Elephas maximus indicus: one gene and its partners. The protein of the gene in region 4 purifies or fractionates together with the protein of the main gene of each other region. This does not show direct contact. Links are inferred from orthologs where the notes say so. Each region holds a gene or a part of one and is shown on either strand. Other genes may lie near its edges. The genes, in order: STK3, GLI1, REST and BTRC.

Region 1 (7,506 bases), on a different chromosome or scaffold from region 4:
TCCAAAGGACGCCCTCTGATTCCGGCGCTGTTTTCTTGGTAGCATGAGGTCCCCATATATCTCTGCTTGCTTCTGTCTTTTATATCTCAAGAGAGATTGGCTGAAGATACAACCTAATCTTGTAGATTGAATCCTGCCTCATCAACATAACTGCTGCTAATCCCACCTCCTTGACATAGAGGTAAGATTTACAACACATAGGAAAATCATGTCAGATGACAAAATGGTGGACAATCACACCATGCTGAGGATCATGGGCTAGCCAAGTTGATAGATATTTTGAGGGGACACATTTCAATCCATGAAGGTACATAATATCAATATGACTTCTCACTGTCGATGTTAACCTCGATCACCTGGCTGAGGTAGAGGTAATGCTTCTCTACTGTAAAGTTACTCTTTGTCCCCACCCTTTTCATATTTTACTCTTAGGAATACAGTATGAAGGAAGTCACTGTATGCAACCCATACTTAAGGAATGAGGAGTTACGCTCCACTTTCTTGAGAATGGAGTATCTTCTTTGTTTTTAATCATTCATCTCTTCAATCTATCTCAAATTTATTCTGATAAATGGTCATAGTGGACATTGAGGTAGCTTCTTCCTCTTCTTTTTTGTGTAATAGGTATTTTTTCATTGGGGTAGTCACAGTGGAAATTGACACCATCCTAGCTCTAAGGGCCCCCTCCTTTAACCCAATCAGGGAATTCCCATCCCTCTTCATGCACTGATTTAGTCAGATAAACCAATCATTTGTTCAGGCATGAGCCAAATCATTGATGACAGGGAATGGTCAAGCTGACAATTTGAGCCAATGAGACAAGAAAGGAGGTCGTTGAGGCATTCTAGAAGAGAAAAGGTTCCTCCTCCTTTTAAGGGAGCTACTAAAGGAAGTACAGCCAGAATGCTCCTTAGAAGTGAGGATAGCAATATTTCATCTCATATACTTTGGACATGTTACCAAAAAGGAACAGTCCCTGGAGGAGGACAACATATTTAATTAAATAGAGGGTCAGCAAAAAAGAGGAAGACCCTCAAGGAGATGAACTGACAGAATGGCTGCAACTATGGGCTGAAACATAGCAATGATTATGAGGATGGCATGGACTAGGCAGTGTTTCGTTCTGTTGTACATAGAGTCGCTATGAGTTGTAACAACTTAATGGCATCTAACAACACCACCACCATCAAAAGATAGTGCTTTTCTCCTTCTTGGCTCTTTGGTGTTGTTTCTATCACCAAGACCATATTTTCTGAGCCTTCTTCATTGTTTTGACTTTTGTATTCCAATTGCCAGTAATTATCAATGCATCTTGATTGCATGTTCAGAAGTTGGTAAAAATCTTCAATTTCTTCATCTTTGGTCTTAGTGGTTGGTGTGTAAATTTGAATAATAGTCGTATTAACTGGTCTTCCTTGTAGGTGTGCAGGTATTATCACTGATAGTGTTGTACTTCAGGATAGATCTTGAAATGTTCCTTTTGATGATGAATGCGTTGCTATTTCTCTTCAATTTGTCATTCTTGGCATGGTAGACCATATGATTGTCTGATTCAAAATGACCAATACCAGTCCATCTCAGCTCACTAATGCCTAGGATATTGATGTTTATGCATTCCCTTTCATTTTTGAAGACTTTCAATTTTCCTAGGTTCGTATTTTATACATTCTGATTATTAATGGATGTTTGCAGCTGTTTCTCCTCATGTCGAGTCTGTCATATCAGCAAATGAAGACCTCGAAAGCTTGACTCCATTCATGTTGTTAAGGTCAACTCTACTTTGAGAATGCAGCTCTTTCCCAGTCGTATTTTGAGTGTCTTCCAACTGAGGGGCTCATCTTCCTGTGCTATATCAGACAATGTTCCACTGCTATCCATAAGATTTTCACTGGCCCACTTTTTCAGAAGTAGACCTCCAGGTTCTCATCCTAGCCAGAAGAGACTCTGAAACTGGCTCTTGAATGTAGAGTAGCTAAAGCAAATGGAAGAACTGAAGAAGTAAAAGAGCTGAACAGAAGATTTCAAAGGGCGGCTTGAGAAGACAAAGTAATGAAATGTGCAAAGACCTTGAGTTAGAACACCAAAAAGGAAGAATATACTCGGCATTTCTCAAGTGGAAAGAACTGAAGAAAAAATTCAAGCCTCGAGTTGCAATATTGAAGGATTCTATGGGCAAAATACTGAATGATGCAGGAAGCATCAAAAAGAAGATGGAAGGACAACAGTCACTGTACCAAAAGGAATTTGTTGATGTTCAACCATTTCAGGAGGTAGCATATGATCAAGGACTGATGGTACTGAAGGAAGAAGTCCAAGCTGCATTGAAGGCATTGGTGAAAAACAAGGCTCTAGGAACTGACAGAACACCAACTGAGATGTTTCAACAAATGTATTCAGTTTGTCATAGAATTTATCTTCATATATAACAGAAACTTTTTAATTTCTCCTTATAACTGATGTATAAGGATGGTGGATTTTATAAATGAAATACATTTTTGTTTTATTGAGTTCTGTGATGAGTTCAGAAATAAGAGCCAGGAATTGCTGTATTATTCTGTATAACAAAGGAAAAATTAGGGATCCCAGGTTAATCCAGGAGGCCAGAGGTGAGAAGAGGAGAACAGAATTTCTCTAAAATTTTCTCTGCCCTTCCTACTTCTTTGTGCAATAGATGTGACGTTGGCTAAGGGGTTGATGGGTTTGCTGAAGAGTCTCTGTTTGCCACTCCTCTTCATATTCATTGTTTTACCTTCCAAGAAAACTGTACGTAATTCTATGTCTTGAACAATTTCTAACAAAAACAAGTTAACTCATTACATTTGTTAAAACAAAAATAGTATTAAGCCAATAATAGAAATTGGTTGAAGTTTACTTAATATAAGATTTGTGAATCAAGGCAACATTTCCAACTAGAGAGTTAAAAATGTTCCAAAGAAGAAAGACCTTGCAAAGATTCTTCTACCATAGCTTATCACTAGTAATTATGCATTGCCATGGAAACAGGGCCAAAATAGCATTTACATAATAACTTATGGTCCTGCAACATTTTTTAAAGCAATATTTAAATAGTTACTGATTGACCCTAAAACATAGCTTCTAGTCTGACCTTCGGAGTTTCTGTTGTTGAAACTGACTGCACAGAGATAATTCTTTAAAAAAGCACAGTGTCCAAGGCAAATATCCTTTACTAATTAAGCTAGACTATTCTTTGAGTTAAAGATGACTCTCAGAAAACCAGTTTCCTCAAGGTTTAAAGTTCAAAGATTATCTCAGGGTGATAGTTTGGATCAGTCATTTCAATCTCCAAGGAATCCAGAAGTCTGGATTCCATGAGAATTAAAAACTCCCTTCTTCACATGGCAACTGTATCTGGTCATAAGAAAGATATCTATATGAATTTAAGGTTAAACAGGACACAGACAATATGGATGCGTTGTTGTTGTTGTTAGTTATCACCCAGTCCCCTCTGACTCATGGCGACCCCATGTATGAAGGGGTCAAGTTGCAACTGGGTGAGGGTGTTGGGAACAAGTTATTGGGAGAGGGCGAAAAAAGGGGAGGAAACAAAGTTTTCTTGAGTACTTTTCATGCAGTATAATTTGTGATAGGTTTGCCAGGTTACCCAATTAAATAGCTGGCAGTCCCCTAGTACAGTAAATCTGGTGTGCTGAGACATCTCACCACAGCAATTATTTTCTCTTTAATTAGATGTAATTATTGTGAAATATAGTGAGGAACATGTCCACAATCAAAATCAAACAGGAATTTCCAGAAGTATCCCTAGTATTGTAGTTACAAATGTCAAATGTCTGGGGAAAACATAACCAATAATTATAAGGAGAGAGAGAAGCGTGGGTTATTAGTAATAGCTCAAGCAGATTCACAAGATGCTAGAGATGCATCTTGTGGGAAATCCAGAGAAATAAGTCACATCAAATTGGGGCAAAGGCAGCGAAGGCGAGTGAGGAGCAGAAGCTCTGGGCTAGCTCAAAGCCATGTGCCTCTAGCCTCACCTAGCTCTTCAGGCCAGTTACATACTGCCCCCCTTCCCCCTTCCCTGTACCACGGCCGGCCACGCCCCCGTCCCTGGCCCCGCCCACTGTCCCGGGAGTCCTGCAGGCTGCGGCTCAGGGGCGGGGCGGGCCAGGCCGGGCGGGAGGAGTCGCACGCCAGAGCGGGCGGAGGATCCGCTGCGGAGTTACGGGAAAGTTGGTCCGAGTTCCTGGAGTTTCCCTCGGCGGTTGCCCGGCCCAGCCGGCCGGTGCCCTAGCTCCATTTCCCCTTACAGCCTTCTCCGCCTGCTTGCTCCTTGCTTCTGTCCCCAGCCGCCATGGAGCAGCCGCCAGCACCCAAGAGGTAAGCAGCGTGGGCGGGGAGAAGGAGGAAAGCGCCCCGGCAGCCGCGGAGCGGGGCGGCTAGGCCTGGCCCGACCGCGACCCCTCCTGCCTGCTGGGCCTCGAGCTGGGCGCACCGAAGGTCCGGAGGCAGGTCCCAGTGTCCCGGCCGCGCCTGTCCCCGAGGCGAGGGGGCCCGAGGGGAGACCGCGATTGGCTTTCCCCGGGTGGCGGGGCCTGGCGCGCGTGGAAAGTCGGGTCTGCAGCGCCGGGCTCCCCGCAGCCCAACCTTAGGAGACTCCAGGGCGGGTCGAGTTTTTCCTGGTGGCAGTTCCACGAAGCCTGGGAGACGTAAAACTTGGAAATTATTGGTCTTCTTACAGCAATGTAGGCTTCTTGTCACATGTTCTTCATAATACCTCATTTTTTTGAGAATGTGTGTTGCTTACTTACCACTTAAGGAATTAAATATTAATAATTAGACAGCCTGTAGAACTTTGTGTATATGCTGCACTGACAGGTGTCTCCTCTCCCTCAAGTTCCGAAGTATTTATGGATGCAAGACAGTAGGAATCTTAAATTAGAAACACTCCCCCTTAGAGTTTTTTGTTTTTCTTTCAGCATTTAAAAATAGTGTTGCTTTGGTATTTATTGATAACTCATTTTTAATCTTTGATATTATATTGGAAATATAATGGAGTACACAGTAGATGCGTTTGAATGAATATTTTAAATGATTTTAGGAAGCTAAATAAAGGCTGTCCACTGATACAAGTTCAAAATGGCATTTTTTCCCAAGAATGAATTAACTGATGTCGGATAAATCGTTTAACCTCAGTCTTCCATTTATGATTTGTAAAATAAGTGTGCTGATCTTTCTCCCAGATAGTGCTGTTGTGAAAATTAAAGCTTTGATACTTAGAGCTCTTAAGTGGAAAGGTGTTGTATTCAAGAACATGGAATACTTAAAAAGGTAGGAACTTTGAGAGCTATTGTGAATTGTGTGACTTGACATGTGAGCCTTGAAGCCTGGAAACCATCTGTTCAGGTGAAAAGGGGGGTGGGGTGGGTGGAGGGGTTTTCAGAAGGAGTCTTCTATCAGAACCCTTGAAGCAAGTCACCTCATAGATTTTGTGAAAGTATCTGTATTCTAGAACTGACTGAGCACTCCGTTTTAATAGTATAGAAGAAAACTGGGAGCTTTTTTTTTTCTCTTCTGTTTTGGAAAGACTTGTGAAGTGGCACCTCTCAAATGATGCCATAGGTCAACTTTGAACAACTTTGAATTGGTAAAAGCTCTCAGTATTGATTAGCTCTACTGTAAGTTATCAGAGTTTCATAATAGGCATACGATGTAATGTCCTTGCCTTTGCAGGGACGTTAGAAGTAGTTGTGAGTGGGAATCCACTGGACGATAGTGGGAGGAGTGGGTGGTAATTCCATATGGTTGCACAACTGACAGACTTATTTTCAGCTCTCTTCAGAGAGACTTATGTTGATCCCTGAAGGTATTTCTGAAGAGTAAAAGATAAAAGTTACATTAGTCCCTTATATTTGAGTGTCCTTCAAATGTTTTTTTGTAGCATTTTCGTGTTCATAATTTCACTTAATTCTCACAGCTACCGTATTGGATAGGTTGGGTTACAGGGATTCATCTTATTTATAGATGACGACACTTAGCAGAGTTTGCCATATGGAATGCTATGAGGGGTTACTGACAGTGTGTTTGTGTTGTCCCTATTGATTATTACCTTCTAATAATAAAACATATCTACTATTTTTGAGGGCATACTGTTTGCTAGGAACTTACATTCCTTTATATAATCCTTCTAAATAATAGAAATCCTGGCTCTGCCACCTGCTAGTTCTAAATTTAAATTTCTTCGTCTGTAAAATGGAGAAAAGATTGAAGTTGTCAAGGGTTTCATTTTACTTGGATCCACAATCAACAGCCATGGAGGCAGCAGTGAAGAAATCAAAAGACGTATTGCATTGGGCAAATCTGCCGCAAAGGCCCTCTTCAAAGTGTTGAAGAGCAAAGATGTCACCCTGAAGACTAAGGTGCTCCCGACCCAAGCCATGGTATTTTCAATCACATCATATGCATGTGAAAGCTAGACAATGAATAAGGAAGACCGAAGAAGAGTTGACGCCTTTGAATTGTGGTGTTGGTGAAGAACATTGAATATACCATGGACTGCCAAAAGAACGAACAAATCTGTCTTGGAAGAAGTGTGGCCAGAATGCTCCTTAGAGGCAAGGATGGCGAAACTGCATCTTACATACTTTGGACATGTTGTCAGGAGGGTTCAGTCCCTGGAGAAGGACATCATGCTTGGCAGAGTACAGGGTCAGCGGAAAAGAGGAAGACCCTCAATGAGGTGGATTGACACAGTGGCTGCAACAATGAGCTCAAGCATATCAATGATTGTAAGGATGGCGCAGGACCGGGCAGTGTTTCGTTCTGTTGTGCATAGGGACACAATGAGTCGGAACCAACTGGACGGCACCTAACAACGACAAAAAAATGTCAGGATTCAGTGAGGTAGTATTTGAAGCACTTAGCACAGTGCTCTGTAATGTGTTCAGTATCATTTTTGTTAGCTGCTGTTGAGTTGGCCCCCAACTTGTGGTGACCTCATGTACAACAGGTTTGTACCAGTGTGATCCACAGGGTTTTTATTGGCTGATTTTTGGAAGCAGATTGCTAGGCCTTTCTTCCTAGTCCATCTTAGTCTGAAAGCTCCACTGAAACCTGTTCAGCATCGTAGCAACATGCAGTCCTTCACTGACAAATTGGTGGTGGCTATGCCTGAGGTGCATTGGTCGGGAATCTAACCTGGGCCTCCTGCGAGGAAGGTGAGAATTCTACCACTGAAAGACCACTGCCCTTGCAATAACGTTAATAGTTGTTATTATCAAGTGGAGGAGGTGCCAGAACCCTGGTCTGTTGCTTGCAAAGGCTGTGCACCCTCCCATTGTATCCAGTGATGCCTTTTTTTGAACCCCTTACTTGTTTTCTTAGCATTCCATGATGTGGTACTCATTTTTTCCTAAAATCTTCTCATCCCTTTTGCTTGTTCTCTCCTTAATCCCTGTAAAAACACCACCTTGCTTTTCTGTTTTGAGTAGTACTTCCTCAGTGCTCAGATATTTTACATAGTGTCATGGA
Region 2 (8,161 bases), on a different chromosome or scaffold from region 4:
TTCAAATCTGCCAGGCACTCCTGGGAAACTCTATGGGGCAGTTCTACCCTGTCCTATAGGGTCGCTATGAGTCAGAATCGACTGGACAGCAATGGGTTTAGTTTTTGGTTTGGTGCCTACATGAGCTTCAAGCGATTTTAATGCCATGGGACTTCTCCTTCTTCTGGCTCTGGCCATGGGCCAGCTTTAAGGAGTGGAATGGGGGAACTCATGTGGGTGTCTGACTTCAAGCACTGGGCTGCACAGCCACAGCCCCTTTCCTTCACTTGCCCTGCCCTGTGACAGCTGTCTACAATCTCTCCGGATCCAGCAGAGGGAGCCCTCGCCACAGGCCAGACAGAAGCTGGTGGGACGAGAAAGGCTCAAGGAACTGCCCCTTTTTTTCCCTCTTAGGAGAAAACTGTGTGTAGAAGGGGAGGTTTGTGAGGGGAGAAGGTTTGAGGGGAGCCTCGGGTCTGTTGTGTACAAGAGATGGAAGCCTGTGTTATTCTGGAGTGGTTTTGCATCTGGGCGCCTACCCTTGGTCTCTGCTCTGGGGCAACAAGAAAAGGGCAGTCAGGGAAGGCGTTGGGAGAATGAAAAAGCAGTCATCATCCTTTAGAAAGGCCTTGCGAGGGAGGATAGGGCGCCGCTGTCCGCTCTTCTCCTCAAACTCCAATTTAGACTCCACCCCAGGTCTTCCCGGGCTCCCAAGGCTGAGGGTGGGGTGGGGCGGGGTAGGGTGGAGAACGAACGGGAGCGGTCCGGCGGGCGCGGTGGGTGATCCCGGGATGCAGGGATTTAGGGTGAGGGCGGGGTAAAATGGGGCGCGGAACCCGGACCCCACCACCCAACCCAAGCTCCGCAGCCTGGGCCGTACCCTTCCTAACTCCTCCTTTTTCCAGCCGAGATCCGGATCCCGCATCCAAGACCTCCCAACTCGACCTTGGCACTATGCTGGGGGGGGGGCACAGCTGGCTGGCAGCTGGATGGGGGGACACTATTCCCTCCTCCTTCCTCCATGACTCACCCAGGGGAAGGAGGCGGGGTCGCAAAAGACCCCCTCAACACTAAAGAGATTCCCCCAAAGTGCCTATTCCGTCATCTTCCTGCCCCACTGCCCAGCCACCCAGGACCGCGATGGAAATGGGGCGACATCCCTCCTCGCCCACGCGTGCCACAGCCCACCCACATTTCCCTTCACACTAATGAAAGGAAAATTTCGCCAACTTTTCCAGCTTCAACAAAGTTTTTTTGGGGTATGGGTGAGAGTTCAAGATGGGGCAGGAAGCTCTAGGGTTCCCCGGCCGGAGCCGTGAATCATCTTAAATGTCTCCCTATTTTCCAGAGTCCCCATTGCAACCCCGCTCCTCAACTCCCAAGAGTCGGCCCCGCCCCCTTCTCCCGGTCCCGCCTTCCCCGCCCCCGTGCCTCTTCGGCCCACCCAAGTCGCCGCCGCAGGCTCTGGCTGCAGTCGGCTCCGCTTCCCCCGCCCGCCCCGGGAGCCCAGTCAAGCGAGCCGTAGTGGAGGGGGGGTGAGGGGCGGGACGCATTCTTCCCTCCTCCCCTCCGTGCATCCATAAAGCAGGCAGTGGCGCCCTGGGGGACACTATTGGAGAGTGGGGGATTCCCAGGGCGGGTGGGAAATAAAGATAATCCAGAAAATATAGGGAGAGAAAATGATCGGGTAAATAAAATAAGGTGTATATGGGGGGAGGGGCCAGGACACCGTAGGTTCCCGGGTATCCCAGCCGGTTTCCCAAGGGTTAATCCCGTCCAGACCCCCGGGAACCCCCTAGTGACGTCAAAGGCGGGGTCTGAGCGCCGGGCGGGGATGCCAGAGAGATAATGGGGGGGTCTCTGGACCCCGCCCCCTAGGGAAAAACCACCTTAATTCTCCCTCGGGAATTCGCCCCTCCTTCTCCTTCTACTGGGGCCTAAAGACCAATCTTATGAAGACCTCAGTTCTCCAGCCCCCTAAAACCCTCAGTACCCAGTCTCTACGGGGTCCCCCTCCCATAATCCTGTCCCCAATGCTAGCTGCCCATTGCGGATTGTTTCGGGGTCATGGGGCCTGAAAGAGGCTTCAGAGGCGGGGAGCAAGGGCAGGCAGGGTGGTCTGAGCCAGAGGAGGGGCCTCGGTCCCCAGCTCCCGTTTGAGGAGGGGGAGGGCAACCGGGATGCGCAGGCTGGCAATGGCCGGTGGTCCCGCCCAGCCCCAGTAGGGGTCTCCCTGCGGCTGGCCCTAGCTGCCCTGGTGGTCTTGAGTTCAGAGGGTCAAGCCAAGGTCTCCCCACCTCCTCTTTGGCGCCCTACCTACATCCCTTGGGACTCAGGAGTCCAAATTCCCTGAGGAGCCTTTCTACGGCCTCGATTAGACACTGGGCAGCCCTTCCAAACTCCTTTCCCCAAAAACACATGCACTCACGGGCACATCTGTCACAAGACAGGTCAGAGGTTCAAGCCCAGCCGCCCCTCAGTGGTTTTATCGTCTCACCACACACACACACACACACACACACACCCATCCCCATCCCACCTAGGGCTCCCTCCTTCGCGGTTCCCTCCTTTCAGAAACATCGACGTTTTTCTGCCTGGCTCTCAGACACACACCTGGAGTTCCCTCTCTACCAAGCAGAACTCCAACTAGCCGTCCCTCTAGCCTCTTCTTCTCAACTCCGGAAAGTGAGATGTTTCTAATATATGGGAGAGTAGGAGGCAGACAAAGAGACCCACAATTGCCTGAGACAGAGACACAGACTACCAGACTCAGAAGAAGAAGGAGGAGGAATAAGAGATACAGAGAAAGATATAGAGCTACAAATTAAAAATTCCTCCCAAGTTTCTAATTTCTTACCCCAGGCTCTTCCACCCCCATTTTGCCCCTATGCCCAGGTCTCCTTCTTGGCTGGCTGAGTCCCTCAGAAGCAGGGCATCCCCTCAGGCCCCTTCCCCCACCGCTCCCAGGTGGTCCCCCGCCTACCCCCCTTCTCACCTCTGTCTGGGCGCTGGGCTTGGGATGCGCGGTCCAGGGCTGGAGTCTGGGCTGGGGGGTGTAAGGTGGGGGGGGCGGACGGGGCCACGGCGGCGCAGCCTCAGTGCCACCCCACCCCCCCCAACCTGGTCCCCAGCCCTCCAGCCGGCCCAGCCCGCCGGGCCGCGAGCCGGGACCACCCGCGAGAAGCGCAAACTTTTTTTTCTTTTTGCAAAAACTTTCTCGCTCTAGCCTCTGGCGCGCCGCCGCTCTTCCCGCTCGCCCCTCACCTCCCTCCTGTTTCCCTCCCTCTTGCCGTTCTTGAGGATGAGGCGAGGTGGCTGCAGGGGAGAGAGGGGGTGCCGGGCTTATTGCACCCCCAGGACCCCCAGGATCCTCCCCCTCCCTTGAGGGACCCTATACTGCCTCCCGCCCCCCCCCCTCGCCGAACACGCTGCTGTCGGTAGGCAGTAAATCCCGGCCTGGATCCTGGATCGGCTGCCCACGAAGAGGCCCTAAACCCCAGCCAGAAAAACAGATTGGGAAATAACATTGGGAGAGGGGGAAGGCGACGAAAAAGTTCATCTTAGAAAATATTAGAGATAGGATTGTCGACTTTGATTGATGCTAACGCAGCATTCTCTCTCCCTGAGGTTAATCGGCTGGCTTCGTCCTTTGGATGGAACTTGGATGGGTTCAGACAGAGCTGGGGTTTGGGGGAGACGGGTTGAAGGGCTGGGGGCCCTAGGTGGAAGGTGTCTACGGAGCATAAAAGAGAGAAGCAGCGGCTGAGGCCTGAGTACAGGGTATGCGTTCACAGGTCACCTAAGGGGTCCTGGGCCTGAATCGCTGTTCCCCGAGAAGCACTGTTGACCGAGAATCCCCGCTTTCCTTCATCTGGAAGTTCGGGAGACTTGCAGACACCTCCGCACCTCTCCACTGCCGGCTGTCTTTTCGCTCTTCAGGGCTTTCTACTCCCTCTGCTGGCCTATCTGGCACATGACACCTCTCGGATACTGCTTGGAGGCGGAGGAGACTGGGGAAGCTGAAGGAGTAGGAGGTTTTCACTCGTCGCCCCACCCACCCTCAGAAAGGGGTCTAGGACCGGGGATATGTGAGCCCAAAGAAACGGAGGGGCACACTGGCAGCTGCTGCTAGTGCAGAGCTGTAGTGCCGAACCGAAAGGGGAATGCCCTGTGAATTTGGATTTTTGTCACCTTGGTGACCGAATGCAGGGAAAGGGGCACCTATTTTAGTCTCTGTGGCCTTTATACCAAAAGGGTGAAAGAGTCCCTTCCCCTTTCTGCCAGCCCTCAAACAGACTCCACATCTCAGGTCTGCTTCCAAGGACAACCTCCTTGGGCCTGGAGGTCAATTGGTTAACTGTTGTCTGAGGGCATGGGGAAATGATGAAGTTAGGGAGAGTACAGGGTCCTACAAAGATAGGTAGTAACTATGGGGTGGGGAGAGGGAAGACAGATAGGAGCCTTATTTGAACCTTCCTCTGCCCGTATGACATTGACCCAGACACCAGTTATATGGAGAGGATCAGGGACCCATCTGGGTCAGGCCAGACCAATGGTCACCAAAAAGGAAGGAGCGAACCCTATACCACTCATTCCAGCTAGACGCCCCTTCCCCCAAGGGAGCTCTCTTTTAGAACACCCTCTCCACCAGGTTCTCTAAACCAGTGGCTCTCAAACTTTTTGGTCTCAAGACTACTTTACACCCTTAAAAAATGCTGAACTTTTATTCATGTGGCTTATATCTATCAATTTGCCGTATTAGAAATTAAAATGGAAAACAAATTTAAATACAAGAAAACACAAGCACACATTCCATTCACAATGACGTCAGAAAGATGATGTAATCATATGTCATGCAGCCTCTGGAAAAATCCATCATACACTTTTAAGATAATGAAAATTTAAAAAGGCAAACAACATCTTAGTATTATTATGAAAATAGCTTTGACTTTTGAACACCCCTGAAAGGGCCTCAGGGACCTTCCAGGAGTCCCCAGCCCACACTTTGAGAATTGTTGCTCTGGACCATCACCCCAGCCTGTTTCATGACTCACACTTGTTGATTTTTTTTTTCTCTCATTTTTATTAGGAAAGTATAAATGTTTGTCTCCCCAGTGGGTCCTGCCCCCCAGGAAAAACTGGAAACTTCTTTGGGGCTCAGCACCCCTCTTTCTTGATCCTGTTTCTGGGACTTTCCTAAACACCCTCCTTCAGCCCGTTGCCCATCTCCCTCTTGGCCCTCCCTTAAGACGCTTCAACAATCCCTACCCCTGGCCAGCCTGTTTCCCCTTCCCCAAGCCTGCTGGGCCCTCTGCTTCCTCCTCCCCCTACCTGAGGACTTTTTCTTCTTGGGAAAGACTACAGTAATTTTTCTCTGCTTTATTCTTCCCACCCTCTCTCCCTGCCTCCCTCGCACCTGCCATTTTCTCATAAAGTTTAGACTAGAAATCATCCTTTCTAGGTAGACCTCTTTGGAGGAAACACTTTACCCATCTCCTCACACATCAACCAGCCTCCAATAGACCAGGAGTCTGGACAAAAAAGTACCCATTTGGGTCACATATTACCAGGTCGCCTATGGGGTGGGGATGTTGACCAGGAATCTGATGCCTTCAGGCAGATGCCTTCAGGCAGATGCCCTTTGTGTGGGAAGCCCTGACTTGATCTTTTCACTCCAAAACCCCAGGCCCTCTGACTAGCTGCAGCCACAGGCCTCCACCACCATATCTGGCACATCTGTCTTGACCACGTTGCCATTACGGTCAAGGTATAGGAGGGACAAAGGCCTTCGGGCAGTGGGGACGCAGCAGGAGGTACCCGAGGGCCAAGGGTTATTGGCCTTGAGGAGGCTAAAGACAGCAGAGTGGAAAGAGGCAGCAATGCCTGGGCTGCCAGCCAGGTGCAGGGGGCACTGCCCATTGCAGTAATTCAGCTGGTACCCCTCAGGCTGCAGGATCCAATCCCGCCATCCCAGATCTTGGAAGTCTACGTAATGATCTCGCCTACAACATAAGGGGGTCTCAGGTTCACAGGTGGGGGTCCTCCTCCTGGCTCGACCTGCTCCAGGCTCATTGGTCCGAATCTTAAGTTCCAAGAAGGGCCGCTGGTCACCCTGTGCATCCAGGAACCGCTGCTGTGGCCGAACAGCTGTGCTATTGCCCTCTAGGGGTCTGCAATCCAGCTGGAGTTTCAGGACGCCTGACTCCTCACCCCTCAAGCCACTAGAGGGCAGAGTCAGGGCATGCCAGCCCGGGCTATTCATTTGGTGCTCAGCCAGTAGGGTGCGGGACCCTCGGCGCCTTCTCCTTGTGTTCCACCGGATGATCCTCAAGTAAAGGGTGCCAGGAAGGGTGGGGAGCACATACAGCCAGAGACGGGCATGGTACAAGCGGTGGGCCCGAGGAGTGGACAGGTTGAAGGTGAGCACGGAGCTGCAGGTTGAAGCCAAGGAGTCTGCCCAAAAGATGGAGAAGGGAAAGAACCGTGAGCCTTGCCCACTGCTCTCCCTCAGCCCACTTTCAGAAGAAATAGGGACTGCCTTGTAACCTCGAAACCAGTCCTTGCCCAACTCCTCCCTCTCCTACCACACCCTGCTTCCTCCGCCTTTTCTGCCAGCCTCCCCTTCTGCCTCCCTTTTCCTGACCGTTCTCCGCCTGTCTCTCCGTTACCCACCTGTGATGGTAGCAAAGCTGATGACTTCCTCCGCATTTACTGGACTCACACTTCCTGGCTGTAGTCTCCGAAGCGCTCTGGTCAGCGCTGCCTGGGGTGGAGGGTGGGTTATTCTGGGACGACTGGTCAAGTGCAGCCCCTCCAAGATTTGCTGCTTGGCCAGCTCTAGGACCAGAGCTCGTTCTGTTTGGGGTGCCAGTGTGGGGCTTCCACAGGAGGGACACACAGACTCTGCCTCCTGGGCCCACACCAGTGCCCACAGCAGCACCAGCTGGAGTGGGACATCAGGGAGCCTCATGCTCCTGGTGGATGGCCCTGGGTTGAGAGCCCTGGAGTTTGGATGGAAGTTGCTCCTTCTGTTGAGTCCAATTGCACGAGGGCCAATGTGGCACAGCATTAGCAGACGCCAGTGCCACACCTACCACTGGCCAAGAGTAGAGCCACCTGTTTTCTATCGCCTGGAACTCAGGAAGGCGGATCGTCTGATGGGCTGCTGTGCTTAGCTCTGTCTTCCAGTTTGACCCTCACAGCTTATGTCTGACTACTGATCTGGGGCCTCTTTAGAGCTGGTGTCTGGGGCTCCCCCACCTAGTGGTCAGCCAGCAGACCTACCTTCTGAGCCCAGGGATTGGACAGCTGTGCTGCCCATCAGGCCCCTGCAGGGGGTGGAGGTCCCCCCCTTGGAGCTCTGGTTTCACCATCTGGCCATGGTGGCGGGGGTTGAGGTAGGGGTATGGGGGTGGGGGGATAATGTGGACACGCATGATGCAAGAAAGAGGTTGATTTCACATGCTCAGTTCCCAAGGTCTGGGCCTTGGGGGAGGGGACTCCATATGAGCCAGGTGGGGAAGGGCCATGTCTCCACATACCTTGAGTTTTTCTAGCTTGCCCAATGGCCACTGCCACACCACTTCCCATGAGGTAGCTATGAATCCCAGTGGGGATTCCTCTGGGGCCTCTGAGCCAGAAGGAGAACTCTGGGCTCTTTATTTCTAGCAATCAGGCTAGGACATGGGTGGGGCTTGGGGAGAACGGAGTCCTCTTGTCCAGGCAGAGGAGGCAATGCTGTGGGGCACAGAAGTCACCCCCTGACTGTGCCTATGCTGGCTGCCCAGAGTCCAGTTGGACTGGGGCACAACATGGAGGAAGGCCAGAGCATGGGGCCGGGGAGGTGGAGTGGTGTTACTGTGATGTCTAGGGGAAACCCAGAGAAGTGGGGGGTGGCAGTGATGCAACCTCATAGCAGGACAGAGTCCATCAAGGCTGGCAGAAGGGCATGGGTCTTGGGAGGGCTTGGACCCAGCTCTGCCAGTTCTCGTTCAGGCAGCTGTGAAAGTTGTCTAAATTTGGGGCATCCTAGAGGTGATGCAATCTCAGCCAGACCTTTCTGTTAGTGGAGTGGGAAATGGGGGAGTTAAGGACTTCTGAAAGCAAAGCAAGAAAGTTCCAATCCTTGTCCTCCTTATCGCACTTCCTTAAAAAAAACTTCCTTACCGACCTTAAATGAGAG
Region 3 (7,709 bases), on a different chromosome or scaffold from region 4:
TTACTATTAATTTAACAAATACTGTTGGGCAACTACCATGTTCTAGGCATTGGGGATAAAGTTGAATTTCTCTGCCCTTCTGGAGTTTGGAGCATAGTGGTTAAGAGTGGCACAGTGGTGAAGAGCTATGGCTGCTAACCAAAATGTTGAATCCACCAGCCTCTCCTTGGAAACCCTATGGGGCAGTTCTCTTCCGTCCTGTAGGGTCACTATGAGTTGGAATCGACTTGATAGCAACATTTTTTTTTTTTTTCCTGGAATTTAGGGTCTAGTGAGGGGAGATAATAAATAGGTTAAATAAATAAAATGCATGGAATGATAGTGATAAATATTAAAGAGAAAAAGCAGGGAAGGGGAATAGGATTAAGACAAAGAGAAGGGGGGGTTAATTTTAAACAGTGTGGCCACTGAGAGGGTGGTATTTGAATCACGGAGGGGAGGAAATGAGCTGCTTGGGCAGAGGGATATTTATTGTACAGACTTTCAGAAGAGGAACAGCAAGGGACCTGAGTTGGGTGAGTAGCCAGTGTTCAATGGGGCTGGTGTGGCTGAAGGGAAGGGAACCAGGGGGATTGTAGCTCAAAATGTGATCTGGGTTCCCAGAAGGTTAGAAGGAGCCCAGCTCATTCTCATGTTCCTTTCTTGCCTGCTTTCCTTCTCTCAGCATTTACAGAACACCTCTATAGCTCAGGCTGCAGACACTGTAGTGGATAAGACAGTGTGTTAAGCAGTCCTCAGAACCAGGTCAAAAGGTCAGGGTCCAACTGGCAGCAAGGATGAATGCTGCTGCATCAGACAGGACTAGACCAGAGCTTCTCACTTCCTTCTGCCTTTGGGAAGGATGACTCTTGAAGGTAGTGTGGCTACAGGCCTACAAGTGGGCCTTGAAGAGGGCAACAGAGAGCTACAGAGAGGAAACAAGGGGGGCCTCATATACTGAACTTAAAAAATATGTAATTGTGCTAGGAAATACATGTACATGATTCAAAATTTGAAACAGAGTAAAAAGCACCAGAAGTTGCTGAGAATTTTAAGTACCACTAGTTCAATCTCTTCATTTTACAGAGAAAACTCCAGAGAAGGGATTCTTAAAGGGTCAGATGAGAAATGGGTCTCTTGTGTCCCTGGCCAGTGTGCTTTCTATTATATTCCAATCTTTCTTACACCCCACCAGGACTTTCAAAATAAACTTATAAAGGAAACAAAGCAACATTTTAAATGGTGCTTTCAGTTCACTTTTAGTTAAATGCGTAATAGAAATTGTGCTGACTCAGATGTAAGAATGTAAGAGCCAGGTCAGTTACACCTGGAGGAGATTTCTGTGGGGGCAAAGAGGGTGCTGGGTACTGCTGGAAATGAAGGGAGGATGGAAGAAAGGCCCCAAATTTTGTTCCTTGACAGACCAATGTCTTCACTCTGACTTTTACAGCAGAAAGTGGAACTGAAACCTTTCAACATCAGGATACAGATGTTGCACCCAATTTTTAATCAACCCAAACCTTGAGTCAGATGTAACATTTAAAGCAGATTGTTGAACTTCAGTGTAACATTAATGTGGGTTCAGTCAAATTACACTCTTTTCTAAAGAAAACATTGAGACATGGTTAGGAATAAAAAGCACATGGAAGCTGAAAAACAATATTTTACCAAACTTTTGAAATAAATCTCAAGAGAAAATATTAAGAACATATGACAATTAAAGTTAAAAAAAAAAACTGCTGAATTAAATATGCAGGAAAGAACCCATATTCTCAAAATAACAAAACCAGAACTCATTCACATTTCAGTCTTTATCTTGCAAAAGATCTTAAAATTTGGATGCAACAAAGTAAAATACTGCCTCTTGAAAAACAATGAAGAATTTAACTTCATAGTACCAGCTTCCCCCAAGGTAATTTTCTATTGATTTATAATTTGGCCTTGAATTTGACCTGCGGCCTTCATGTCTTGATAATTTGGGTCATTCTGAATATGTCATCCCTTGAACAAGGGCCTTTGCTAATTTTAAGTGAATGCAGCTGCCCCATTTGCAATTCTTCTATTTGCATCACAATATGTGGGAATAAATTCACAATTAATAAAACATTTCCATTAAGCAGTCAGACCAAGGAAATGAAGAACATTCATCTAGTAGGTTTAAAAAGAGATTTCTCATTTTTTCCTTTTTGGACCTAAAAAGGGGCCCTGGTGGACAAAAAAAAGGGTAAGAAAATAGTTCATGTCTTTGACAACTTTCATAGAGGACAGAATTGGTCTCTGGGGTACAGCATTTAGAATAGCCATGTAACCTCAAATTAGATTTTAGTTTAAAAAGAAGGGGGGAAAAAAAGAATAAACATAGAAAAATTTTGTACCAAGCCTAAACATCTAGAAAAGTTGGCCTTGTTCCTTAGTTCTCTTTCTCTAAATGAAAATGAATACTTATCAAGTTTGATTCTTGGTGATGGTTGGGGTGGGGGGGGGGGGTTGTGTTTTAAATGAAGTCGCTGAAACTTTTAGCCGTCTTTAGGCTCTTCATTCTATCCCGCATCTAAAAAACAAACAAACTAACCAGTAGCCACGGAGTGGAATAGGACTTCTAGCAATCCTATAGGACAGAGTAGAACTGCCCTACAGGGTTTCCAAGGAGTCCCTGGTGGATTCAAACTGCGGGACTTTTTGATTAGCAGCCAAACGCTGCATTAATTAGTAATATGTTGTCTAGATATAGGAAAATAAGAGTCTTACTGAGGAGTGTACTAGAAAGCGTCAAGTCTGGAAGTCCTGCCTGAAGAGAAAGGAGTGAAGGAACTGAGGGAGCCAGAGGAAGAGCTAGGGGTATCTTAGGCGGCTTTGGGCTTTTGAACTGGTTTTTACAGTTTAAATGGTCCTTCACCCAGGGCTAAAGAGAATTCTACTTGTTGAATTCTCATTCTCCAAGGTCAGATTGAATGTTATCTATTGTGAGAAGTTTCTAGATCCTCCTAGTTAGGATTCAGCTCCCTATTTTGAATCCCCGTAGCCCTTGCTGCCATCTTTATTATGATGCTAGTGACAGGCCGACTAACCTAGATCAGGTTAGGCAGGGCCTTGAATGCCACACTAAAGAATTTAAGCTTTTAGTTTGTAGGCCATTGGGAGCTATTAAGTTTCTAAGGACAGGCCTGACACAAGACTCATGTTTTAAGAAGGTATCAAAGGCACTTCGGGTGGAAACAGAAGGTAAGGAGTGCATGAAACTACTTTTTAAGCATATTATCATATGCCAGGCATTTTGTGTAGTTATTCCAATTTACAGACAAAAAAAAAAAAAAAAACCAAAAACCTGTTCCGACTCATAGCGTCCCCATAGGACACACAACTGCACCACAGAGTTTCCAAGGAGCGCCTGGTGGATTCGAACTGCTAAACTTTTTGGTTAGCAGCCATAGCACCTTATCACTCAACCACCAGGGTTTGCATTTATAGACGCGGAAGCCAAATTTAACAACACGTGGACGCCGGCAGCTTCACCACCTCTTCAGTTCTTTACCCTCAGTAATGTGGTTTCTATTCTTCCACTGGAATCGCGTTTTCAAGGCTCAGCAATGAGCTGTTTACCTGACACGTCTAGGGAGTTGTCCGCTCAATCTTATTTTTACTAACTGTTCTGAGGCTTTTAACACCGCTGTTCATAACGTCCTTCCCCGAACATTTTCTTTTCACAACAAACACACTAATTACATTTTCCTCGCTTACTGTTTGAAATTTGGATTGCATTTTTACCAAAAAAGTTTAAAACGCAGTTTAATTAGTTACGGGTGGGGATGGGTGGAGACTTGAAGAGATTTTGAAAAGTACTTTCTAGCGCTTCAGATTTAAGAGCCCAGTGACAATAGTGCTAAACAGAACGGTCAAAGCCTGCAGACTTTTCTTTTAACAGCTCTATTCTGACGCATGCACGACAGGGTTGGGGATAACTTTTCTGTTGTTTGCTTTTAAGAGAACTAAAGGAGCGGGGCCCGCCTCTTTTTTGACCTAAGAGCAAGAGTGAGGGACCGCGCGGATTTAGGTACGGCCCCCTCTAGGCGCGACCCCAGTCCAGCGAGGGTGTGTAACTACCCCCTTCGCCGAGGGGCGGGGCGCGCCCAGCGGCCACGCGCGCGGGCGGTGGAGGGGGCGTGTCTCGCGAGGGCGCGCAGGCGGCGGAGGGGGCGTGTCTCGCGGGCGGCGGCGGCGGCGGCGGCGGCGGCGGCGCGGGCCGGATGCGCGGCGCAGCCTCCTGTGTTGGAATGTGCGGCTCCCGCGAGCTCACGGCGCAGCGGCAGAGCGAGCGCCGCCGAGGCCCCGGGCCCCAAACCCGGGCGGCGGCGGCAGCCAGGACGACAGGGCGAGGGCCAGCGGCCTGAGCACCCACAGCAGCCCTACTCCTGGACCTTCGCGGGCCTCGACGGCCCAATCGCCCAACTTTTCTACCCTGCACCTCCCCTCCCCCGAAACTCCAGCAACAAAGAAAAGTAGTCAGAGAAGGAGCGGCGACGCCGGGTCGCCAGCTCCTCGTCTCCTGGTTAGGTGGGTAAGCCGGGCGCGGGGCGGGGGGCTCGGTCGGCGTGGGGGAGGGCCGGCCCGGTAGTGGCCGGGCGGCGGGAGGGGGAGGGCGCGGAAGGACGCGGAGCGAGGCGCTGTCCAGGGCTGATTTGCAGATACTGTGGCTCCGCGGCGGCGGCCGTACCGGGCGGGGGCGGGCGGCCGAGCGGGATCGGGTTACACCGCCGCGGCCCGGGGGCTGGGCCGGGGGCGTCCTTGGGGAGCGGCGCGTCGTCGGGACCCCCTCCACGGGCGAGGCGGGGTCGTCCCCTCGGCGCGGGCCCGGCGCCCCTCGAATTCCGGTCCTGAGGCCGCGAAGCGGAGCTGCTCGGGGCCCCAGTCCTGAAACTTCCTCCTCCTCCTCCCATTCCCAGGTCCCGCCGCCCGCAGCAGCCCCGCGCCGGCCCGAGGCCCTCCCCTCCACCCTTCCCATCCCGGCCTCTCCCTTTTGCCGAAGGCGCCGTTGAGTGCGGCCGGGCGGGTTGAGTCAACCCCGTGGCCCGGGCGGGTCCGCCAATGGGGCTGGACAGCGATTTCTGCGCTCGGGCCGCCCCGGCGCCTCAGCCCTCCGCGCGCGGCCGCCGGCTTGTCCGACCTGGCGGACCCGGGGAGAGCGTCCTGCCGGGCGCCGTGGGGGAGTGAAGTTCGCAAACTTCCGGGGCGCGGGGGTGGCGGCCGGCGCGCGTGGGGGCCCCCTGCCTGCTCTGGGCCGACTCCTCCTGAGGGCGCCAGCGGAGGCTCTCCGGTCCTTGGCGGAGGGAGAGCCCCGGGGCGATCAGGAGAGCCGGGGCGCCGGAATTACGGTAACTTTCCTCTTTCCTCCCAGACCCGGGCCCGCGGGCCGGGAAAGGGACTGCCTGGACGTGGGAATGACTTGGTGTGGCCCCATGAGCCCCAAGTACCCATCCCCCTCGTTTTTAGTGTTGGGGGACACAGGAAAAACCTCGGGACGGTTGTTGGGGCAACTCGCGCGAGTTGGTGTGTAGATGTGTGCAGCGTGTAGGCCCGAGAGGAAGCGAGAGCGCCCGAGTTTGCAAAGAGCTGCTTTGTGTTTGGTATTTTGAGAAAATGGCCGAATGCCTATTTCAGTCAGGAATGCCGCCGCCGAGGCAGGCGCTGGTGGCAGCAGCACATAGGAATTTGTGCAACTCGTAGGGCTGTGCTTCGTCGGTCTTCCTCACAAATGTTAAAATTCCTTTAGGGATAGTAGGTAGTAGGATTTTGGAGGGATTAGAAAAGTTGATGTTTGGGTAAATACCGAGTAGTCTGTGCTGTTAGGCACTGGGAAACCTTTTACGGTTAGTTTGTTTTCTCTGTTGGTGTTTTGATTCCAACTTTTTCTTGGTACCTATTACTAAACCGGCTTGTGTTCATAAACTTGATTGAAATGATCTCCTTTTTGTATTTTAGGTTTAACTGTACTTTTTAGTGTAACTTGTCGCATATTTTGGCTTTTCTAATTTGGAAGAGAACAGCTAAAGTATTTGAAAAGCAACGTGATGGTCAAGACCATTTAAAAAGCCAACATGTTTTCAAGAAGGTGATCTTGTAATGGCTTCCATTAGGGCAAGTAGGCCAAGTCAAGCACAATGCACAAAAAGTTACTGGTTGTGGAATGTAGAGTTGTAGGTTTTTTTCATTAGAGGGGTTGAAAGATTAATTCTTAATCTTCGTTTGTGAAGTTTGGAGTAAGCTAAACTTCCCTTTTTCACAGGAAGAGGGTCCATGATTATTTTCCCCTTTGAAACCAGTGGAGTCATCAAAAAATTTAGACTGAGTGGTACTTTTTCCACAATAGCTTATTCTTCTGAAGTTAGTTGGGTTGATATGGAATTTAATTAGGTTGACCAATTATTACAGCCTTCCACTTTCCAGACGTGCTTGTGAATATAAGGCACAACAGTATGATTTTGGGGTTTTTCAGCTCAGATTTAGACCAGTGAATTGTTGGGAGAATAGGAGAACAACAATATGCTAATCATGTATTGAATTTTAAAATAATTTTAATTGATGTTGAAAATGAAGATTACTTGTTCTTTACCCACCAGAAAAATGAAGTTCTTGAGGGAAGACCTGCTAATCAAATATAAAATTAATCACCTAGTTGACCTAGTCGGTGCGTGAGTTATGTCAGTACTGTTGATAAAAATTTTTTAGGCGTAATAAAAGTTTTTCTGTTGACTGAAAAAAAGAAAATTGGTGATTACAAGAATATTTTGAAGGTTTGTTTTTAGTGGTTTATTAAGCTTCTGGAGTTTTAAAGATTATATTGGAAAAAATGTTTTTTTAGTTAGGAAGAATTACATTGATGCTTTCATTTCAGACTATTAAAAGTTGTGTTTTATTTTTTGTTTATTTTAACTTCAGACAGAATACAGTTATGGCCACCCAGGTAATGGGGCAGTCCTCTGGAGGAGGAGGAGGGCTGTTTACCAGCAGTGCCAACATTGGAATGGCCTTGTCTAACGACATGTATGACTTGCATGACCTCTCTAAAGCTGAACTGGCCGCACCGCAGCTTATTATGTTGGCAAATGTGGCTTTGACTGGGGAAGTAAATGGTAGCTGCTGTGATTACTTGGTTGGTGAAGAAAGACAGATGGCAGAATTGATGCCTGTTGGGGATAATAACTTTTCAGATAGTGATGCAGAAGTACTTGAAGAGTCTCCTGAAATAAAAGGTGAACCTAATGGACTGGAAAACATGGAACTGGAAAGTTTGGAACTCAGTGTTGTAGAACCTCAGCCTGTATTTGAGGTATCTGCTGCCCCAGAAATTTATAACACAAATAAAGATCTTCCTACCAAAACACCAGGAACAGAGGACAAGTGCAAGAACTTGAAGACCAAACCATTTCGCTGTAAGCCATGCCAGTATGAAGCAGAATCTGAAGAACAGTTTGTGCATCACATCAGAGTTCACAGTGCTAAGAAAGTTTTTGTGGAAGAAAGTGCAGAGAAGCAAGCAAAAGCCAGAGAATATGGCTCTTCTGCTGCTGAAGAGGGAGATTTCTCCAAGGGCCCCATTCGCTGTGACCGCTGTGGCTACAATACCAACCGATATGATCACTATACTGCGCATCTGAAACACCACACCAGAGCTGGGGATAACGAGCGAGTCTATAAGTGCATCATTTGCACGTATACCACAGTAAGCGAATATC
Region 4 (7,417 bases):
TTTTATTTTGTGTCTTAAAATTATTTCATCCAAGTTTCAAATGTTTCCCCATTCTAAGATTCTGGGACTGGCTGGACAAGAATATATTTATCCTGTCCATTTTTTTAAAATAAACTTCAAATGAATTCATCCCTCAGCTTGTCATTCTATTAAATATATACATATATCCTTATAAAATAATGCCTGTTGCTGTTGTTGTATGCTGTCAAGTTGATTCCAACTCATAACAGGTTAGAACTGTCCTATAGGGTTTTCTAGACTATAATCTTTAGGGGAGCAGACAGTCAGGTCTCTCCTTCAGCGGGGCTGCTGGTGGGTTCGAACCACTGACCTTTCAATTAGCAGCTGAGCTCTTAACCATCATACCACCAGGCCTCCTTATAAATATAATTAAAATAATGCTAACATCCCCTCAGTCCTTTTAGTTTCTCTTCTCAGGTCTTCTTACAGTTCCCATTTATCTTTTTTTTAAGGTATTAGATTTTTGTTGACCAAGTAAATATCAGTAAAGGTCCTAATGGCCTGCTAAAGCTGAGGGAGAAACATTAGCATACAAGTTATTTACTGTAAACCACTTCTTTAATATCACTTGTTTTTAGAAATAAAATGTTCTGCTTAAACTCTTTTTCACAAGTAACTAAGGGTAAGAGTACAGACCATGTGTGAATTACGGTCAACTGAATTAGCAGTCTCATTAATAAGATTTTAGTATAAAATTCCTAATCGCAACACTGCATCAATGTGGTAATGAGTAAAACTGGTAAAGACGGTATTCATTTCATGTTGGGGTTTTAAACAAACTATACATTTTTTTTTAAACTATGGAAATCAAGGCATCTATACAAAAGTTACAATTAGTAATTCACAACTGAGAGGAGTCAGGCAAGAAATAAAGCAAACACTATAAAAATTTCAATTTGATTAAAGGATAGCCCTTCCATGTGTACTGTAAACTAATTAGTTGGTTCAAGAGCAAATAAAATATCTTCATAACTCAAAGTTCACCCTGAATAAACACACAGGTTATGGTGGGGTAATTGGGACCAAAGGGAAGCTGTGACTTACTCAGATTCATAATAAGACTGTTACTGAGTTGAAGGAGAATACCAAGTCTCTGGCTCTCTGTTCTCTGCATCAGTTATTAAGGTGTCATTCTTGGTGACCCTCTTCCAGTTGGCCTTTTCTCAAACAGCAACCACAGTAGCAGGCAAGGTCAAAAATGAAAGTAACTTAAAGAAAAAATTGGCTTCTCCCTATGGAGACTGACTCAACATTTAATAATGTGTGCCCCAAAAAAGCTGGAAACTTCTACACTGGCCATCTTCAGGTCCAAATTAACTCAAGCAGAAGGCTATTACGGAAACATAACTTACTGGTACAAAGCAGAGAGCAAATAGTTGAGAATGTTCATAGGCTGAGGTCTAATGGGGAGTAAAGAAGATGATCTCATAATGCCTCTTTACGATCTGTAAATAACACTATTCCATAAATCTGACACAAGTGTCAGGACTAGGATTAAGAGTCAACCCTCTAAATAGGAAAATAAAAATAAGCAGCTGCCACTTTTCTGACTTAAACTAAATTTAGAAGCTAGCTATAGACATAAAACAATTTCCTCTAATTTCTAAAATCAAAAAAAAATTCAAAGTCTCTTCTTAAATATTTTAAGATTTCAAAATTAGGCAGACATTCAAGAACTTTCTTCAAGTTTAATGGGATTTTGTTTTCGATACAGTCAAACTTTATTTAGGTGTTTAAGTAAATTTGACCAGTCTCTTGGGAAGTATTCTTGTAAGTGGGGCAGTTTAAAGCGTTAATTCAATTAATACCCATGTTTATTGATTCGGAAATTGTTACAGTATTTCAGACAAAGACACAATGTAATAACTATCTAGCAAAGGAATAAGGTTTGGAGTGACAGGTTAAAATTACTTTTGAAAAAGCAAGCAAGACTTGACTGCAAATAATACCAATATCTCTAAAGCCCCCTGTTAAGCTAGAAGTCTATGCATCCCATCATTCTGTACTTGTAACCACAAAGTCTGGCTTTACACCTAGGATATACAAGAAGCATCAGATTAAAAGCATGAGATATCAGACTACACACGTGTGCCAAATGTAAGTATAGCACAAGAAAAGCATGATACAAAGTTAAACAAGCTCCAAGGAGTTTAAACACACACACAAAGCCCAACCCATGCTCACACCTAAAACTGATGGGAACCACCAATTCTGACTTTCCTCTCAATACCGACTACCCACATTCCCCCTTTTATCTCCTGAATTTCTCCTCTGATTTCATCACATAGGTCATTGCAATTCTAATCTCCTTGGCCCTTTCTTTCCCAGGAAGTGATACAGCACCTGGTCCCTACACTTCACTACCTCCACAAGTTAGCTCTAATTTGTATTTTATTAGATATTAATTTGCCCTCAAACTCCTATACCCGAGTTTCCCTGACCAATTAGGCTCCTGCTTTTCATCGCCTCGTCCTTACAACAATATTTAGCTTCTTCTTTCAAAGTAGAGCATATATCCCTTTTCCTGACGTTTGTAATCTGGCTCACAAGTCAACCTCGCCGTTCTTTCCCAGAGACTGTTACCATGGCCCTAGGTCCCCATTCCGAGTCCTTATCTTCCTAAGTAAGGCCTCCTCCTTCTCAGAGTTTGTCAACATTAGTTTGGCTAAGCTGGGATTCCACCCTCAAGGCAAAGGCTATCTCCCTCTTCATTCTACAAAACTACAAGTCTCCCATCAGCCTTGGCTTTCCCTCGTCCACTCTTAGATCCATCTGCATCCAGCCCTGCCCGATTCCCTCCTAATTCCAATATACGTCCTCCCACTATCCCGCGCTCCCCTTCCCCACTCCTGAACGCACCTCCTCTCCGGGCCTTACCCGTAACCCTGACACCAGGAAGGCCCTGCCAGCGGCCTTTGGGCGTCTATCCTCCCGGCTTCCTCCGCTCTTCAGTAACTGTCCCCACGCCCCTTTCTCTCCACGGCCCCGCGCGCTGCCCGGAGACCCCTCCCGGATTAAACCCCCGCTGTCACTTGGCCTCTCATCCACAAGATGGCGGAGCTGCTGCCCCCACTCCCGGGTTCCTCCGCAACTCCCTCCCGCCTCCCCGGAGCTCCGGTCCTGTCCCCTCAGCCTTCGCCGTCGCCGGCCTCGGCCCGGGGTCCCACTGCCCCCTCCCCCAGCGGACAGGAGGCCCAGACTCGAGACTCAGCGACGCCGCCAACGCCACCGCCTCCACCGCTCCCTGGTCTGCACCTTCTCCTCACCATAAACTTGAGCGCTTTCTCCTGCAGCACCGCCTCGGCAGGGTCCATAATCGACCCGGGCCGCTGGGTTCGCTCTCTGCCGGGGCCGCCCCCTGGGTGCCAGGCCGCAGCCAACGCAGCGCCCGGATCCCGCCTCCTCTTCCTTCACCCCGCCCTTTCTTAACTCTAGGCGCTGGCGAGGGAGCCAGCAAGGATCGGCTGTTCCATGCGCATGCGCGAGCCCGCTGGCTCACGGGATTTGTAGTTCTGGTGCCTCCCGCAGCAAAAAGTGAGACCACACCACGAACTGCGACTCCCGCGGTTCACTGCGGCAGGGTCGCCGTTGCAGACGAGTCAAGCCTAGACAACTGTCGGTCAACAAGGGAAAGTCTGCTGATGGGAATTGTAGTTTATGGCCTCTAGGAATGGGAGGGGCACGGGTGTCTCCGTGGTTACCGTGAGACGCCAATGGCAGCTTGCCTGACATTTGATATCAAGATGGCGACCGGTATACCTCACCTGTACCCCAAATACTGGAAAAAACTATGAGAGGACTCAGAGGTCCTGGGACCTCCCTAACTGTGGTTTTAGGGAACTTCTTATTGTTAGGTGTCGTGGAGTCGGTTCCGACTCACAGGGACACTGCGTACGACAGAACGAAATACCGCCGGTCCTGTGCCATCCTCGCAGTTGTTGACTTGAGCCCATTGTTGCAGCCACCGTGTCAATTAATCTCGTCGTTGAGGTTCTTCCTCTTTTTCGCTGACCCTATGACTTACCAAGCATGATGTCCTTCTCCAGGGATTGATCCCGCCTGATAACATGTCCAAAGTACCTTAGACGAAATCTTGTCATCATCCATCTTTGCTTCTGAGGATCATTCTGGCTGTACTTCTTCCAAGAGACTTGTTCGTTCTTCTGGCAGTCCATGGCGTACTCAATATTCTTTGCCAACACCATAATTGCAAGGCATCATTCTTCCGTCTTCCTTATTCATTGTCTAGCTTTCGCATGCATATGAGGTGATTGAAAAGATCATGGCTTGGGTCAGGTCCATCTTAGTCCTCAATATGACATCTTTGATTTTTAACATTTTTGAGGGCTTTTGCTGCAGATTTACCCAATGCAATGTGTCATTTGATTTCTTGACTGCTGCTTCCACGGATGTTGATTGTGGATCCAAGTAAAATGAAACTCCCGACAACTTCAATATTTTCACCATTTATCATGCTGTTGCTTTTTGGTCCAGTTGTTAGGATTTTAGTTTTCTTTATGCTGATGTTTAATCTATACTGAATTTAGGGAACTAGTCAACCCCAAATTCCATATATCTAGCTTCTGCGGAAGGGTTTGTGACCCAGAGGCACTGGGCCTGTGGGTACCTGGCAGCAGGTCACAGACCAATGAAGAATTTCAAGGTCCTCCAAAGCTAGCTCCCCATATTTCTTCCAAAAGACCTATTCTCCCCCCCTGCAGAAAAACAGGGCCAGATAGATGTCAGCTCAGGAAATTTTCAGGTATTTAACACTCAGAAGGCATGGTTTGCTAGTGTTAACCCTGGGATGTAAACAGTGCATTAAGGGTCAAAGGGGGTACTTGTTTACAAAAGGCCTTCAGTGGTGGAATATAATGGCCACCCAGCAGCTAAAGCATGTGAGTATTTTCTTTGACCTTGAAAGGAATAATTAGTGTTTATTTTGGAAATTGGATTACCCTAGGAGGAGAAAACTCTAGGTTTAAGCTAAAACTGAGATTATGTTAGACTTGTAAATGATCTGAATTTATAAAAATAAGTGAATCAACACTGCTGGTGGGAATGTAAAATGGTACAACCACTTTGGAAATCTATCTGGCGTTATCTTAAACAGTTAGAAATAGAACTACCATACAACCCAGAAATCCCACTCCTCGGAATATACCCTAGAGATACAAGAGCCTTCATACAAACAGATATATGCACACCCATGTTTATTGCAGCTCTGTTTACAATAGCAAAAAGTTGGAAGCAACCAAGGTGTCCATCAACGGATGAATGGGTAAATAAATTGTGGTATATTCACACAATGGAATACTACGCATCGATAAAGAACAGTGACGAATCTCTGAAACATTTCATAACATGGAGGAACCTGGAAGGCATTATGCTGAGCGAAATGAGTCAGAGGCAAAAGGACAAATATTGTATAAGACCACTATTATAAGATCTTGAGAAATAGTAAACCTGAGAAGAACACATACTTTTGTGGTTACGAGGGGGGGAGGGAGGGGGGGTGGGAGAGGGTTTTTTTATTGATTAATCAGTAGATAAGAACTGCTTTAGGTGAAGGGAAAGACAACACTCAATACATGGAAGGTCAGCTCAATTGGACTGGACCAAAAGCAAAGAAGTTTCCGGGATAAAATGAATGCTTCAAAGCTCAGCGGAGCAAGCGCGGGGGTCTGGGGAACATGGTTTGCGGGGACTTCTAAGTCAATTGGCAAAATAATTCTATTATGAAATCATTCTGCATCCCACTTTGAAATGTGGCGTCTGGGGTCTTAAATGCTAACAAGCAGCCATCTAAGATGCAGCAATTGGTCTCAACCCACCTGGAGCAAAGGAAAATGAAGAACACCAAGCCCACATGACAACTAAGAGCCCAAGAGACAGAAAGGGCCACATGAACCAGAGACCTACATCATCCTGAGACCAGAAGAACTAGTTGGTGCCCGGCCACAATCGATGACTGCCCTGACAGGGAGCTCAGCAGAGGACCCCTGAGGGAGCAGGAGAGCAGTGGGATGCAGACCCCAAATTCTCATAAGAAGACCAAACTTAATGGTCTGACTGAGACTGGAGGAATCCCGGCGGTCATGCTCTCCAGACCTTCTGTTGACACAGGACAGGAACCATCCCTGAAGACAACTCATCAGACATGAAAGGGACTGGTCAGCGGGTGGGAGAGAGACGCTGATGAAGAGTGAGCTAATTATATCAGGTGTACACTTGAGATTGTGTTGGCAACTCTTGTCTGGAGGGGGGATGGGAGGATAGAGAGAGGGGAAGCCGGCAAAATTGTCAAGAAAGGAGAGACTGAAAGGGCTGACTCAAGACGGGGAGAGTAAGTGGGAGTAGGGAGTGAGATGTATGTAAACTTATATGTGACAGACTGATTGGATTTGTAAACGTTCACTTGAAGCTTAATAAAAGTTATTATAAAAAAAAAAAAAAAAATAAGTGAATCAGAGAAATACCTTTTAACTTATAAGAAAAAATCTCCATTGTAAATATTTTATTCAGTAATTTATTCAACAAACATTAAGCATATAACTGTGTGCCGACATCATGACAAAAAGTGGAGATTCAGTAGTGAACACAACAGACTCAGTCCTTGCCCTTGTGGAGCTTACATTTCTAACGTGTTAATGATTTGTCGTAGGCATCCCTATTTCCACAGAACTTATCTGATACGTAACAGGCTTTCCACTAATATAAAGTTTTGCGCTCGTGTTTGAAAAAAAGTTCTACACAAGTGTAAAATGAGGGAGACTTAAAACTCATGTGAAAAAAGACTTGGGAGTTTTCCTAGGCCAAAGGCAGTAATGTGACGTGATTGCCACAAAAGCTAAAGGAACCCTAGGCAGCTTGAGCAGAAGTAGGATCTGGGCCAAAGAGGCTTATGGTCTTACTTTATTTTGAAGCACCCAGATTACATTTACAGTACCTTGTTCAATTATGGGCACCCCATTCTACAAAGATCCCATGCAGGAGCATAGCCAAAAGCAGGATATCCAAGAGAGAAAATACTGATAGATGCTTATTCTGAAAAAAGAACACATAGGAATAACATGACAATTAACTTCAAGTATTTGAAAGGCTATTTGAAAGTATATGTATGTAGCTTCACAGAGCAAACTAGAATCAGTGGGTGAGATAATAATAACAACAACAGCTATCGTTTTATTAGCTCTTTGTGCCAGGCACTATACTGGGTATTTTACATTTATAATCCCTAATATTTTTTTTTTTTTAATATACATAGTGGAAACCCTGGTGGCGTAGTGGTTAAGAGTTCGGCTGCTAACCTAAAAGTTCAGCAGTTCAAATCTACCAGGCGCTCCTTGGAAACCTTATGGGGCAGTTTTACTCTGTCCTATAGGGTTTTTATAGG

What was found.
Region 1: the proteins of BTRC (region 4) and STK3 purify together in Homo sapiens (affinity purification with mass spectrometry; 3 studies listed by BioGRID and IntAct, counting the BioPlex papers as one, with this or other methods). This does not show direct contact. The link is inferred for Elephas maximus indicus from reciprocal best matches to the Homo sapiens genes BTRC and STK3.
Region 2: the proteins of BTRC (region 4) and GLI1 purify together in Homo sapiens (affinity purification with western blotting; 3 studies listed by BioGRID). This does not show direct contact. The link is inferred for Elephas maximus indicus from reciprocal best matches to the Homo sapiens genes BTRC and GLI1.
Region 3: the proteins of BTRC (region 4) and REST purify together in Homo sapiens (affinity purification with western blotting; 8 studies listed by BioGRID and IntAct, with this or other methods). This does not show direct contact. The link is inferred for Elephas maximus indicus from reciprocal best matches to the Homo sapiens genes BTRC and REST.

The regions. Positions count from the first base shown.
Region 1 is NC_064833.1:43,247,670-43,255,175, forward strand, and holds the start of STK3 (serine/threonine-protein kinase 3), read left to right. Parts: upstream 1-4,147; 5' UTR 4,148-4,330; coding exon 4,331-4,356; intron 4,357-7,506. UniProt on the Homo sapiens protein: Stress-activated, pro-apoptotic kinase which, following caspase-cleavage, enters the nucleus and induces chromatin condensation followed by internucleosomal DNA fragmentation.
Region 2 is NC_064822.1:117,378,425-117,386,585, reverse strand, and holds the start of GLI1 (zinc finger protein GLI1), read right to left. Parts: upstream 3,136-8,161; 5' UTR 2,975-3,135; intron 1-2,974. Other genes in the region: INHBE (inhibin beta E chain), read right to left, coding at 5,675-6,432, 6,652-7,048. UniProt on the Homo sapiens protein: Acts as a transcriptional activator. Binds to the DNA consensus sequence 5'-GACCACCCA-3'. Regulates the transcription of specific genes during normal development.
Region 3 is NC_064823.1:104,103,369-104,111,077, reverse strand, and holds the start of REST (RE1-silencing transcription factor), read left to right. Parts: upstream 1-4,206; 5' UTR 4,207-4,530; intron 4,531-4,658; exon of another isoform or gene 4,659-5,348; intron 5,349-6,912; 5' UTR 6,913-6,925; coding exon 6,926-7,709. UniProt on the Homo sapiens protein: Transcriptional repressor which binds neuron-restrictive silencer element (NRSE) and represses neuronal gene transcription in non-neuronal cells.
Region 4 is NC_064834.1:52,979,004-52,986,420, reverse strand, and holds the start of BTRC (F-box/WD repeat-containing protein 1A), read right to left. Parts: upstream 3,436-7,417; 5' UTR 3,336-3,435; coding exon 3,288-3,335; intron 1-3,287. UniProt on the Homo sapiens protein: Substrate recognition component of a SCF (SKP1-CUL1-F-box protein) E3 ubiquitin-protein ligase complex which mediates the ubiquitination and subsequent proteasomal degradation of target proteins. Recognizes and binds to phosphorylated target proteins.